Tribolium castaneum: one gene and its partner. The protein of the gene in region 2 purifies or fractionates together with the protein of the main gene of each other region. This does not show direct contact. Links are inferred from orthologs where the notes say so. Each region holds a gene or a part of one and is shown on either strand. Other genes may lie near its edges.

Region 1 (7,967 bases), on a different chromosome or scaffold from region 2:
GGGAGTGCTCATTCGTCACAGTCGTTGTGGTTTTAGCAGTTGCGTTACGGATATCTCGGGGCAATAATTGCACGTCATCACATGCAAATCTTTCGAATAAGTCATGTAGGACACGCCCTTAGGACAGGTGTAATTTTTGCCAGAGAAACGCTCGTCTCCTTATCTTGGCACAGCGTAGGATTGACCGAGATAGGCACTGATGAGTGCTTCGAAACAATTATTATATCTATTAAAGTTATTAAGCTATTAGGAAATTATTAGCTATTTGCATAACTCGAGGTTCTAACGTAATCTGCGCTTTTTCTGTTTTTGCACACACTTTGATGTCCTGAGCGTGTCCTGGTGTAAAAATGTGGATTATGGATTATGAAATGCTTTACCGTATCCAGCTGTTCACTATTTACGTTTATTGCTTCAAAAGAGATAAATTCATGGAATAAACCATTAAATATAGACTCGGCCTGAGTGCTCCATCAGACTCAACTCCCCGTTTTGCGCGACCTCCGGCTAAAGAAGAAATAAGTCCGGGAGAAATATTTAAAGAATTGATTATATTTTCAAATGGGATTGAAAAAATCGTGCGAGAGCATTCCAGTCCTTAATAGCTTTAAAAATGAACGTGCAACGAATACGCGTCTCCTTGTAGGGTTTCATTGTTAGTTCTCACGTTCTACATAAATAATTGCCGATTAAGACCTTTTTATCAATTTAGTATCAGCATGTTCGGTTCGGAGCAAATTGCACTACAATTACCTGCCCGCACAACACTCGCAATTGCACCTTATGAAGGTGTTTGACTAAGCACTGATCCTCAGATTCAATTCATCTGGTCTAAATACACCACATTAACATGGTAATGTTTGGTCGGGAGTGAATTCCCCAACAAGCGCTTTTAAATCTGCCAAATAAGGTAAACTGCCGTTCCAGCCTCCATTTGACTTGATTATAACGATAACGTCCAGTTCTTGTCGGCTCATTTCCGATGGTGAGGCTGTCACTGTATAAGACTTGTCCTCAATTAGCTGCGTTTTTTACAAAAAGAATCTCCCATATCGGTGGACACTGAAAAAATTCATTTCCAGCACAAACAATAAATATCGGTTCGAGTCACTGGCGAATGAATAATCCTGTCTCAAGTTCAAGACGAATGAGTGATTAGTATTTATGATTCATTTCTTGTACTATTAAAAGTTAATATGGCAGCCGATATAAAATTTGATTTATTTTAGACAAAGACACCGGACTGTCATCATCAATGTCGGCGATTTGTATTTGTATCTAATAAGCGATAGCGAAATGGAATTAAATGCACCTATTAAATATTTCTGCGTCAGAGTGGCAAATTTATGGCCCATTTTATCAGCATTCTGGGCGAAAAGTAACGCAGATAATGAGCAAAACATGTCCTTTCCCCGACGTGGTGTGAGGTCTCGGAGCGCAAAGTGAGAATTAATCGAAAAAATCTTTCCAGGAATTGTCTGAGAAATTCTGATACTTTTGCACAAGCTGAGCAATATTTTACAACCTCCTGTGCATAAATCTCGTTACTGTCGCTGTATTTTTACTAGAACAACGTCTTATTTACATCTCCGTTCTCACTTATGCTCATTTTTGAATGCCGATGGAGATGAATTGGTTTATTGTATACAGTATCAGACTGAATATAAGCACGACAAAAGACCTGCGGATTAAATTATTGCAACAGCTCGCTTTTCTTGCACTTATAAATCACAATATGAAACTTTGTTTATCCAACGTGATGTAATTCTTCACCTTCGTGGAATACTGACCTATTGAAGTATCCGTTCCGGATAGAGGGTGACAATAATTGCGAGTGTATGTGCTTACGATACTTGCAAATTCCTCCTATAAATCAATGCGAATGAAGGAGATTTTGCCAAAGGTTACCCTGCAAATTAGGCGATTCAGGCATGACCGCACACTGTAATAACGCCTGCCTTAAGCATGTTACAGGTTCACGAAGACATGAAACGCAAAGTGATGCTAAATAATAATAATAATAATGATAAAAAAGGAAAAAGTTTAAACAAATATTAAAAAAAAACAGATAAAAGTTGAGAATATAATGTAGTTATCTTAGTTAGAAATACTTAGTTCGAAATAAAATTATAGAGCAAAACACAAAAACTATTTTGGTCCATGTCTTAGATTTAAGACCATCATCTCCTAAGGTTTGAAATAAAAAAATATGTGCGTAGATGCACCTGTAAGGTAGCTCGTGGACATTGCCACACCAGGAAGTGCAGTCCGAAGAATCATGTCCTTCCGGCAAACGAAGAAAGCTAAAAATTGGTAACCATCTTGGCAATTACGCTATCAGGGTCGTGTTAAAAAGCCACGGTCAGTAATAAATTCCACAATTATTTCAATATGCTTTCTCGGGCGTTGGTAATGCATAAGAGCGTCATTACAATAAATACAGAGTACTTGTATAATACTCCGGGGAATATCAACAAATTGCAAATACGAACCTATACCCACTGCAAGCACGCCAACAATTTTATTTATGTTGCAATTATATTGCAATTTAGCTCGTTTTTTGAAAATTCGTCGTTTACGAAATACCCATAAAAATCCTTTATTGTGTACGACTGTCCTCATAAGTTGTTTGTTTGTCCAAAGAAAAACTTTATACTCTTATTTATTGGATATTAAAGGCGAATGTTATGACTTTTAAATTGGTTTTATTAAGGCAATTAAAGGTGGTGGACACTGTAAAACCCATATTTACGAAGTTACTTACACTCAAGCCACATATTTCTACAGATTTTATTAATGACCACAATTAATTACTCCCTAAAGCCTTCACCTTTTCTTCGATCAGGTGGTTTCTTTTTTAATGGAAATGCATGTGTCTACGCAACATGTTAAATATAAATTCACAGTATGCAAGATACCATCAGGTTTGTGCAGCTAAGTGCGTTCAAAATAACACAAAGTGCTCGCAAAACACCCAAGAAACAATGCATTACACTCTGCTCTAAACTTGTTTTGCTCACCAGGAAGAAAGTACTCGACTTTACCTAATTTTAAAATAAACCCACTTTTAACATCCCTATAGCAATAAATGAAACATCTTAATAATAATAGTAATAACAATAATAATAATAATAATAATAATAATAATAATAATAATAATAATAATAATAATAATAATAATAATAATAATAATAATAATAATAATAATAATAATAATAATAATAATAATAATAATAATAATAATAATAATAATAATAATAATAATAATAATAATAATAATAATAATAATAATAATAATAATTTGAATTGAATTTTTTTTATGACTAAAATGAATAGTAATCAAACGTTGAGCAGGAGAAGTAATTTAGGTCAAAAAAAAATGAGAAAATAATTATTTATATTGTTATTTTAGTCAATTAAATATTGATAGGCGTGGCCAATTATGTTTAAAATGAATCCTATTTTTATACAGAATCGTTAAAGGGATATATACAGTCAAAAGTCTGAAAAATAGTTCATTAAATTGTTTTTCAAGTTATATTTACAATTGGTTTATCATAAAAACCGTCAGCTGCAGTAAAATGGGACTAAAAACAATGTAATATCCTATATTATATTTTTGAATAAGCACTATAAAGTTGGCTTAGAAACATAAATGGTTGCGACATCTATCAAAAAAAGCAGTAATCATTGTAAACTGTACAGAAACCTATTAAGAAAATGCGCGCAAAGCAAATCGGTTTAACGGTCATCTTGTCTCCGCACTGAAATACAGTATAAGTGTTTATTATCGTTAGTGACAAATCACAAGTTAATTTACAACGTAAAGTGCTTCAAGTAAATTGTTACAACTGTGTGAACCGCTGTTTGATATAATTTGGGTAAACAACGATTGAAATTGGCCGTAGTTTTGAAATAACGATAAGGAACCGTCATTCATACGTTAGCAGCAGCGTATGAATATAGCCTTCCTGCCAGTTTAATCATCCTACATGTCCATGTGGTGTTAGCCGGCTGATTGCAAGAACCAATTAATTAAAACCGTTAAGTTTACAATATTAGTCAGTAATTCTACAATAAAATGCATCAAGAAACACTCCGACTTATACAAGTGCTAGAAAAAACTGTTTCTCCCGGTAAGTACAAAACTTGACTATTTGACAAGTTGCCATCATTTTTTAACCACTGCCATATAATCGCATGCCTAATCATCAAAAAGCACGTTCCTCTCAACCCCGCCTCATTTCCGCCTTTTCGATAAATTTCAACCCGCTTTGACATTTTACGAAATTCCCAAGCAACTCCCCGTCAGGGCTTAAACCAAAAACCTGACGATGTCGCCGCACCGGCGTCGAAACGTCGGTCGCTCTTTTTCCCAAAATGCAACTCTTTTCAAGCCCTCAAGCTCGCAAAGTTTCATCATAACCTCACACTTTTCGAGGTCATTATCCTCAGTGATTTTCCGTTAATCACAGCCTATTTGACGATTTCCAGATAAAAATGAACTGGAGCAAGCATCAACATTTCTTGAGCAAGCTGCCGCCGCTAATATCTTAGAATTTATCAAGACTCTATCCGATATCTTGCGACATGGGGGCAACAGTCCCGTTGCTCGCATGGCCGCCGGTCTCCAACTGAAAAACCAACTCACGTCCAAAGATCCCAACATCAAACAGTTATGTCAACAGAGATGGCTGTCGGCACCGGAGGAGATACGCAACTACGTCAAGAAAAACGTAATTGTTTATATACCGGTTTTGTTAGTGTTTTTTTCGACCGTTTTCTCCAGGTCGTAGGGGCCCTGGGCACGGAGACCAACCGGCCTTCGTCAGCGGCCCAATGCGTGGCTTACATCGCTGTCACCGAATTACCGCACCACCAATGGCCCGACCTGATCGTCACGCTAGTGAACAACGTAGTCCAACCAAACTCCACCGAAATGCAGAAAGAAGCAACGCTGGAGACCATCGGCTACATCTGCCAGGAAATCGACTCAGACGTGCTCGTTACCCAATCCAACGACATCCTCACGGCGATCATCCACGGAATGCGCTCCACAGAGCCCAGCAATCATGTCAGATTTGCGGCAACGCAGGCGTTGTTAAATTCGCTCGAATTCACTAAAGCTAACTTCGAAAAGGCAACTGAAAGGAATTTCATCATGGAGGTGGTGTGCGAAGCCACTCAGTCGCCAGATACGCAAATTAAAGTTGCAGCGTTGCAATGTTTGGTTAAAATTATGTCTTTGTATTATCAATATATGGAGCCCTACATGGGCCAAGCTCTCTTTCCCATTACTTTAGAAGCGATGAAATCTGACAATGATGCCGTGGCGCTTCAAGGTATTGAATTTTGGTCGAATGTTAGCGACGAAGAAGTGGATTTGTCCATCGAAGCCAATGAGGCAGCGGATGCAGGCCGGCCCCCAGCCAGGTAAGAGCATCATTTCTGGAATGACTATTAGTAAAAACTGTAATTCCCTGTTTATGCGTTTAAGTGAAATCCAGTCTGTGAGCGATATGATAAATTCGTAACTTAATCAGCTAATCGTTAAATATCATTAGATAACTAAGTTTTTCTGTTTTTACTTCGGTCAGAGAATTCCCACAATAAATGTTAACAAGAATAAATAATCTTTTTACGGCTTTTGCCATGCTATTAAAAGAATCAGATTAGTAGTAGTTTCATAAACCTAGTCAGATTTTTATAAACACAAATTAAACTAACGATGCTTTTGTGTTGCTAACTTTAGTTTGGTATTTTTATGATCGATAAAAGCCTTGTTTTGATTTGATTTTCACAATTTGCGTTTGAAACATCAAAAAATAGATAAGTGTTAAGTCAACAAGCCTATTATTAGAACGGAGATTATTCATTGTCCTGTTACGCTGACTCAACCGTCAGTCAGTTAAGCGAATATTTCTTCCAGAGTATCACGCCACTACGCCAAAGGTGCGCTCCAATTTATCGTACCCATCCTTCTGCAAAAACTAACGAAGCAAGAAGAGCTCGATGACGAAGACGACTGGAACCCGAGCAAAGCTGCCGGCGTTTGTTTAATGCTTTTGGCCACATGCTGCGAAAACGAAGTTGTTCCACACGTTTTACCTTTTATCAAAGAAAACATAAAGTCTGAGAATTGGCGATTTAGAGATGCGTCGCTTATGGCTTTCGGCTCGATTCTTGGCGGGTTAGATAACACCACTCTTAAACCATTGGTGGAGCAAGCCATGCCAACCTTGATAGAGCTGATGTATGATAGTAGCGTTATCGTGAGAGATACTGCGGCTTGGACTTTCGGCCGAATTTGCGAAATTATTCCCGAAGCGGCCATTAACGAGAATTATCTTAAGCCCTTGCTGGAAAGTTTGATTAATGGACTTAAGGCTGAACCGCGAGTTGCGGCGAATGTCTGTTGGGCGTTTTCTGGATTGGCTGAAGCCGCCTACGATGCAGCTGAAACTAACGAAGACACGGGAACTCCCGATACGTACATGTTGTCACAATACTTTGAGTATATAATTCAGCGGCTTTTGGAGACTACGGACCGTCCAGACGGCGCTCAAGCTAATCTCAGACCGGCAGCCTACGAGGCTTTGATGGAAATGGTGAAGAATTCACCGAAAGATTGCTACGTCACCGTACAAAAGACAACAATGGTGATTCTTGAACGTTTGCAACAAGTTTTACAAATGGAAACACACATTACGAGCCACAATGATAGGTCACAGTTTAATGATCTCCAGTCGTTGTTGTGCGGAACACTTCAGTCGGTTTTGAGGAAAGTTACACCAGAGGACGCGCCGCAAATATCCGACGCCATCATGACTGCTATGCTGACCATGTTCAACTCGAATTCGTGCAAAAGTGGAGGTAATTCACCAGCCAAATGCGCCTTCAAATAAAATCTTTCGCTTACACTTTACAGTGAATTGTATTAAAGATTTTAGTTTGAAGGCGTATTATAAAAAATTATAAGTACGGGAATTAAACGTTGTTTGTGTTAGGTGTACAAGAGGACGCACTGATGGCAGTGTCAACCCTGGTGGAAGTCCTCGGTGAAGGTTTCATCAAATACATGGACGCGTTCAAGCCGTTTCTTTACATCGGCCTTAAAAACCACCAAGAGTACCAAGTTTGTGGTACCGCAGTCGGTCTAACCGGTGACATTTTCCGCGCTCTCAAACTAAAAGCTCTTCCTTATTGCGACGAAATCATGACTCTTCTGCTCGAAAATCTCGGCGATCAATCGGTCCACCGTAGCGTCAAGCCACAGATTCTTTCAGTGTTCGGCGATATCGTCCTAAGTATCGGCCCCGAATTCAAAAAATACCTCGATGTTGTTCTCACAACACTAGCGCAGGCGTCGCAGGCACAAGTCGATAGAGATGATTTCGATATGGTCGATTATTTGAACGAATTACGCGAAGGTGTACTTGATGCTTACACGGGCATTGTACAGGGTTTAAAAGGCGATGGCCCGACACCTAATCCCGACGTTTTGATTCTCGAACCGCACATTCCTTTCATCGTTCAATTTATAACCGTGGTGGCACAAGACACGTTCAATTCTGATGCCACGGTTGCGGTGGCTGCCGGATTGGTGGGGGATCTCTGTACGGCTTTTGGAGCACCACTTTTACAACTCCTGGATTTGGAGCCGATCAACGAGATGTTGGCGAAAGGCAGACGAAGTGGAACTAATCGTACTAGAACTTTGGCCACTTGGGCTACGAAGGAGTTGCGCAAGTTGAAGGCTAATTCGACGGCCGCTGTAGCTAGTTGGTAAGTGGGAGTGGACAGTTTCAGCAGATCCAATTGGCAAAAAATCGTTACAAATAATATAAAACAGACATTATTAAAATTATAGCTGGGATTTTTTTAAAATTAAAATAAAGTTAGTTGTGGTGGGTCGGTTGGATCTGCTGCGTTTGAGACTTGGCGTTGGACTGTATGTGTCTCGCGAA
Region 2 (7,740 bases):
CATTAACAAACTAGTTTATTAAATAACTATTAAGAAGTGTAATGAATAAAGAAAATTAAATTTCCTATAAAAAAAGTCAGGAAAACCGTATTTCTAGCTTCAGCGGTTAAAATAATTTTTTGATATTTGACCACTGGTGAAATGAACTGGAACCGTATATTGAGCGTCTTTGGGGTCTAAACAATTAACGACAATTAACAATCCACGGGAGTTTTTTAAAAAAGATTAAATTCTTTGCTACTTTCTTTTTACGCAGCATTTTGAAAGATAAGAGACAAGCGTAAATTTTGAGTAATTTTTTTCCCATATTTCTAGTGAAAATTTTACTTGTTAGTTTTTTTAACTTTATTAAAAACGAAAAGCTGCGATTTTGTATCTCGCCAAAAAAAACTTATTTACCATTCCGACACACTATGCAACGGGAATCCCCGGCGTTGGCTACGTACAACTGGTTGCCTTTTAACAACGCCACAACTGCCGTGCAGCCACTGTCAGACCCTGGCTCTTCTTTAAAGGTTCTGACATCTGCATCTTCACTGTCATCGTCTTCCTCGTCCTCATCTTCCTCCTCCTCTTCTTCCGAACTCTCTTCCTCAGAGCCCTCCGCGTCAATTGCGATGTTAACGCCCTCATTTTCGTCCTCCGAGCTCTCCTCTACAAACAAACAAACCGTTAGTTTTGGGCCTAAAAAATGGTTTTCGCACCATTTGGACCCTCAAATGTTTGGTCTTCTTCGTCGCTGCTGTCACTCTCTTCCTCTCCACAATTCAACCAGTTTTTATACAACTGTTGTGCCGTCCGTTTTGGTCGTGTGTTTGTTGGTGTTTTTACAGGTTCTGGTTTAATGACTGCCTTTCCTTTACCCTTTTTTGACGGCGTGCCATTTTCAACAGGTGTTGATGAACTCGTGACGTCACTCTTAGCCTGGGCCTCGGAATCGGAAGGCGCAATTTCACCGTTTTGGGTTGGAAGTTCGTCTTTAGTGGACCCAAGTTCGTCTTTAGTGGACCCAACTTCGTCTTTAACCTCTGAACTGTTGGGTTTTTCGTCGGAAACTTCGCCAGGACCGTTGGTCTCCGGCTTGTTCTCCTCTTCTGTCTTATCTAAACGCAAAAAGGAGGTTTGTTAATGGTCTCGAAATTTATGTTGGCAACTATTCCATAATCAACTGTTGTTCATTCCCAGGGACGGCCGAAGGTGAGGCCTCACAGAGGAGAACAGCCAAAAGGCGAAATTCGAATCAAGATGAAAAATTAAGAAAAAACATCACATTGTGGTACTTCCTACAAAATTACGATTACAAACCACATTTTTTTAAACGTCGATTAAAGTGGGACACAAACCGTTTATTTATTTCTGCAATTATTATTATTTTTATCATTTCACTTTTTATTTTATTTATATTATATTATTCTGCAATACATTATTATTACTTAATTACGTAAAATTTTCTTTTATAAATGTTTCTAGTGTTTCTTTATTGTTATAAGAATCCACAAAAAAATGGACAATATTGAGTAAGCAATGACACTATGTGATCCATATTGCAATGTAAATAAATTTTCCGTGATAAATTGAATAAGAGTAGTTTTACTGCTGAATTGTATTTAAAGTTTATAGGTGAAAGTTTAAATCTCTTTGTAAGATTGCTTGTCAGAAGCTGCCTTACGCTCTCTTCGTTCTTCTTCTCCATATTCGTGTCCTTCGAGATCGTAAGTAATAAATGAGTAATGTGAAAAGTATTGCGTTTTTTTAACTTTAGCGCGCACGCGAACGCCAATAAAATTTTGGCAACTAATCCATAAAATTTCACAGAAAACTATTTTTCTTTATTTGGAAAATCAAAATGTAATTGAAAGTTTGAGATTATGGACAGCATGTGGAATATAATTAGTTGCATAGCCAAAAAACTGGCGCATCAACTCAATAGTGTCTGGAGAATTGCTTAACATATAAAGGTAAGAATAGTAAAAAGAATCTTTGTATTAAATTTACTGATAAATAACGAACTGATAAATGACGTCTAACAGTCGTGATCCCAATATAATTTAATCAATAATAAAAATGAATTCTTTTCGAATCGTTTTCTAGGAAATAATACCCAATGTTATCACACCTACAAATTGTGATTTTAGTGTTGAATTTTAATTTTTTTAATTAAAAAAACTGCTAAAGTCTGATTGTAAATTTAAAAATAATTATTCTTCATTGTGTTAAGAAACGATTACTTAGTGTGAAACATAAAAACATCAAAAAATTATAATAACTGAAGAAGTTAACAAAATAAGTTTGTAGCTGCAGATTTTTTAAAATATGATTTTGTGAATTTATTCAAGATTTTTTTCCGTAATCTACACATGCTTATCAACAATGTACCACTGAGTTGGTGTGCCAGTTTTTGAGCACCCTGTATAAAGGAATAATGGATATGTTCCGAGTTAGAAAATATGTAAATAGCGTCTTAAGTCGCAAATTGTTGCAACTTATACTTTAATATTCTTTCTAAAATAACGAAGACTTTTAATGTGGAGAAACGTGAAGCTTTTTGTATAAGAATAAAAGTAATTATCTTGAATTGCTACTTTCTGAAAAACCTTGAATCAAAAAATAAACTAAACAACATGAAAAACACAAAATAAAGCACGCAAATGAAAAGAATTTGACAATAAATTATTTAGAAGTAAAAAAAAACATAATAAAGCCGAGACTTTCCAAGAAAGTTAGATCACACATTTTTTTACTATTTGAAAGTAAACATTTTCAGCTCAAAGTCATTAAACATGTTAATTTAAACTCTTACGGAATAAATTTTTAAATAAATATTGTACTTGAGAAGTGTTTTTTCCGTCTTTGGTCCACTGTGTATAAATAATTGATTCTAACGCTGGAGCAAGTTGATAGATGGCAGCTCGATAGATTGAGACTGCCACAATTTCACCTTTTTTGTTTTTTATAAAAAAAGTAGTAATCTAGTAACTTCTGTTTTTTTTTACTTCGCTCTGACGCATTTTCGGCCTCAAAAGACAATGTAACATTGAGGTAATAATAAATGCTTTCCAGAAAAAAAAACACAATTACCATTCGCTTCAAGCATTAATAGTTCTTTATAAATGCCGCATTTTTAAACATTGTGATAGTCTCAGTCTACACCAGTGCCATCTGTTAAATAAAATAAAAGCTCCAACCTGCTCCACATTTTGGTTCGCGCCCGCGAATAGAAAATAAGGGAATTTGGTTCACCAGGACTATCTATATATTGTGGCCTTCACCTAACACAAACACCTATGTTGCCAACTTAACAAACTTTACGTAGCTAACCCTTAAGTCCCGCCTCGCTGGAGCTGCTGACGCCGTCGCCGCCTTGGCTCGTGGAGCTCGAGCAGGAGCCCGCTGAGGAGGTGCCTACCGTGGGGTCACTGTCTGTTTTGGCGGTCAAAAAGGGCGATTTAATGTCCCTTTTTAAACTTTTCACCGCCGGATTAGACAAGTTAGAGGTGTACTTTTCAATAACTTGCTCAATGGGCATGGCCGCCTCTTCGTACAAATTGTTAACATTTTCCTCTTCGTCGCTCTCGTTCTCGTCCTTATCATCGGCGATTTTCCTCAATTCCTCCACAACTTCTGGCGTGGCAATGAGCGCGTCAAACCTCAAAAAGCCCGAAACGAGCGCCTCCTCGATGTTTCCCTCCTTGTACTCGGGCGTGTTCTTGATGAAGTCCGGGAGCTTGTCCGAGCAATACTGGGCCACTTCCTGGCCCCCATGTCCGTCGTAGACGGCGAAAAACGAAGTGTCCTCGTCGTAGTTTAAGATACAGTTATGTGCGTCCTGGAATTGGGTTATGGGTGAGGGCGGGTTTGGGGGTGGTTTGGGTTACCTCTTGGGTCATACGCCAGCCCTGCATAGAGCTTGCCCCATAAGTTAATTTGCCGTTGGTGTCGTCGGTGGACTCTTTCTCGGTGGCCGGTTCTGATAAATACGAGCCCATTGTTGGTTGTGTTTTTGCCCAAATTACGAAACGTATTCGCTGGTGGTTTTGTTTTGGTCATTAAACAATACCGGCACTAAATTACGACTTGTTAACTCGATTCCATGCTGGACGAATTTTTACACAAAACGGCTGACATGTACCGCCAGGTGGCGTCGAGTCGACGCGCCAAAATCACGCACTTGCGTTCATTTGGCGCCATGTTCAAATTCCAGTAAAATACTTCACCAAAACTTTTTTTGATAGAAGTTGTTAACATTTATTTTGTTTAAATTATTATCTAAACGTCAAATTAAGGCGTTTGGCTGCTATGGCTGCTATGTAAACAACACTGACTAGGAATGGTCATAGAAATGGCCTCACATAGTCTGTCGGTGTAATGTTGGTTGCAGAACATTGTAAATGGAATTTGATCCTAAATTTTGAAAAAGTGCTATGTTGTAATGTTTTTAGTTAGTTCCTGTTTAAGATATAGTTTAGAATCAAACTCATTCTATCTTTTAGTGGAATACGTCATAATATTATACTATACTATAATTCTTTCTAATTAAAAAAAGAATTCACGTTACAAAATTCCCATTCCTATTATAAATCCCAAGTTAACTGATATTTATGGTTTTAAAAGTACTAAGTACTAAACATTATTTATCACAAAACAACAGTTTTTTGGATATTGCAAAAACGTGTTTCTTGAATAAAAAATTATTTTTAAACTTAGTACACGATTAAAAAAAATTATCAAAAAATCACAATTTGTAGATATGCCAACACTGGAAATTATTTCCTAGGAAACCAAAAATAATTTAGTTTTATTTTTAATCAAATGTGATGCGATAGCATATGATCACTTTGCTATCGGTGGTTTAAAAAGATATTTTAAATCAAAATAATTATTATACAGGGTGTTTCACATAATTTTACAAAACCTGCGCCTGTAAAAAGCCACCATGAATACATATTCTAAAACGATCTCAATTACAAATTTTGAAAAATTAAATGGTTTTATCTAGTTTGTTCATCGCTTAAAAAAATTACAACGTTTTTTGCGTAGTTAGGTATTAAGATAGATAGATTTGAATCATATTCATTCCGTCTCTTGGCAGAAAACATGGTAACTATTTCTAAAAAATAGCAATTCATGACTATTAATGAGACAGTGATTAGTTTGACAATGAGTTTCCAAAAATTAAATAATTAAATGTATTTAAATTTTTTGTATCTAGTGCTTTGTGACTTTTGTATATTATTTGGGTGCATACATTAGGCGCAAGACTAGTAAAGTTGTGTTTACTAATGGTCGGTTTATTAGAAAGCTATATTAAATTTTAGGTCATCAAAATTTAATGAAAAAATTTTCAAATTCTTTTTAAAACTGATCACCATTTATTAATTTTCTATTGCTTTCTGTATCTGTCTTAATTTTAGAAAAACCCACCAAAAGATCATTAAAAATTTCTCTCTTTAAAATTAAATTATCTACCACACCCCTACTACTAATTTTTTTATATTAAAAATTTATAACTTTAAGCCAATTCTTTGTTTTAAGATTTTCGTATACAATTATGTCTTAATTAATTATTTTCTATTAAAATAAAAATGTCGTAATTGAATAATATTTCAATTTTCACACAAAGACGTTTCAAAAAAATGAATAATCAGAATAAACGTATCAATGAACGTTACGAAAATTTATTCATGGAAATATTTGAATGAAACCCGAAACTCATCAGTTTGCTATAGCACACATTCCAATAAATTCTAGAAAAATTATTTTTAGCAGTATTAAAAAGAAAAGTCGAGATAGTTATATAACCAAGAAAGAATCAAGTTTTTCTACTTTTCAACGTCATCGAAACTGAAAATTATTTATAATAATCAACAACAATAAATTTTAATAAATTTATTTTAAAAGTTGTGATTTTTATATCCAGAAAGTTAAAAAAAAATGATATGGCAACATAGTACAAAAAATTCATAGTTAGTTATCACTGTAACTACTCCTCAACAATTAAAATAGAAATACGACGAAAAGACATAAGTAAGGAAAAGTGGGGAAATACCGTTCTCCTAAAAGAAAATTATTACAAATAACTCTAAAAGAAATTAAAAAATGTAATTTGCATGAATCATTTTGATATTGTGTTCTACAATAATTAGTAATATTTAATTTAGTTTTATGCAAACTGTTTTTTAAATACGTTTTTCTATACTCGTGCATTTGCAAAATATTTCTATTCATTAAAAACTGTATATTATCTTCAATCATGTAAAAAAGCAGTTATTTGTAAGTGCTTTCATAGCTTTCGCCTCTTTCTGTTTTGATCTTTAATAAGGAATTCCCATTAATTCCTTCTACTATTTTTTGAAGTTTATCAGAGCTCCAAGACTTGCTTTTTCCGTTTTTCTTTTGTACAGTATTTTCCTGTAAGAAGGACTGCGTGAAATTTATCATTCGTTTATTTATAAAAAATAAATATTTATAATATTTAGAAATATATATAAAAAATTATCAAATGGCTGTTACGTTGATGCGCAATTTTACCCGTTGCATGGTATTCCCTCACTTTCCCCTACTGACATGTTGCCAATTTACCATCCAAAAAAGGTTTGGGTTGATAAATTCGTTAAAAGTGAGTAAGGCTATTTTATTAGATTCTTTTAGAGGTTTCCTGAAACGTGAGCTTATGCGTTATTTTACATAACTACTTCCAAATTTGACACTACATTAAAAATTAATGTTGTTTTTTATTTAATAATGTCAAGAGTATGCTACTTGCACCACAATGGACACTAAGAAACTAATAAGCATATTTGACTTAATTTGACAATTGAAAAAGGCACTTGATATAGTTAGTAGTGACAATAATGAAAATTCCCATATTCTTTAAAAGTAATTAAAAAAGTTAAATTGCAACTGACGGCTGGGTAGAAATACTCGTAATTCTCATTAAGTTCATACCTCGTAATAAATATGCATGCGATGTATTTCATTTCTCGCAGTAAAAGTTTGTATTAAATAAATAAAAAGGATATGATATCGCAGCCGTCATGAATTAAAGAAAGGCTAAAACGCGTCACATATACACCCTGGCGGGATTTGTCAAAAGGGCACATTAAAACCAGGATTATGGGTCGAATTTACGACAGATCTTTATAAATAAACATGGACAGGAATATGAAAGCAACAGATTTCTAATTCAACTTTAGTTAAACTAAATAAATATTTATTTATTGGAAAGACAATATTTCCAACAAATCACCAAATACCTGCAACTAAAAGTAAAATCAAATTGTATATTTTTTCCGTTCGTTAAACGACTTTAAACGATGACTCAGCCCCCAGTAAACCTAATAAACCGAACAAAAGTCCGCCGCTGCATCATGTCATTACTTCAAATTGCGAGCCCGCAATATTGCGAGCTTTTCCAAAAATGCATCGTCATCAATCAGAATCCAACGGAGACCCAATTTAAATGCTTTCCCCACGCAAAATTACAATTTTCATTAGTAAAACGAGCGCTTTATGCGTGCATGAAAATCCTTTTCAGAAAAAAATTATTACAGTTTACTCACTTTCTTTTGTGCAATTATTTACCTTCCTTGAAAAAATCAACTCATATTACCCGGTAATGTTGTTTACAAACAACAGTAGCAATGAAGCTGTCAATATTTATCGGGAAGTGAAATTCCAAGCTGCAAATTAAAAAGAATCGTTTCAAAGGACCGGCTTATTAAGTCTTGTTCCTCGTAATTA

What was found.
Region 1: the proteins of uncharacterized protein LOC655879 (region 2) and Fs(2)Ket purify together in Homo sapiens (affinity purification with mass spectrometry; 3 studies listed by BioGRID and IntAct, with this or other methods). This does not show direct contact. The link is inferred for Tribolium castaneum from reciprocal best matches to the Homo sapiens genes PPM1G and KPNB1.

What each region holds. Positions count from the first base shown.
Region 1 is NC_087398.1:2,429,253-2,437,219, reverse strand, and holds the start of Fs(2)Ket (importin subunit beta-1), read left to right. Parts: upstream 1-3,744; 5' UTR 3,745-4,081; coding exon 4,082-4,136; intron 4,137-4,494; coding exon 4,495-4,736; intron 4,737-4,789; coding exon 4,790-5,433; intron 5,434-5,929; coding exon 5,930-6,873; intron 6,874-7,007; coding exon 7,008-7,785; intron 7,786-7,967.
Region 2 is NC_087395.1:16,945,755-16,953,494, forward strand, and holds the start of uncharacterized protein LOC655879, read right to left. Parts: upstream 4,150-7,740; 5' UTR 3,987-4,149; coding exon 3,876-3,986; intron 3,827-3,875; coding exon 3,319-3,826; intron 1,104-3,318; coding exon 705-1,103; intron 655-704; coding exon 400-654; intron 1-399.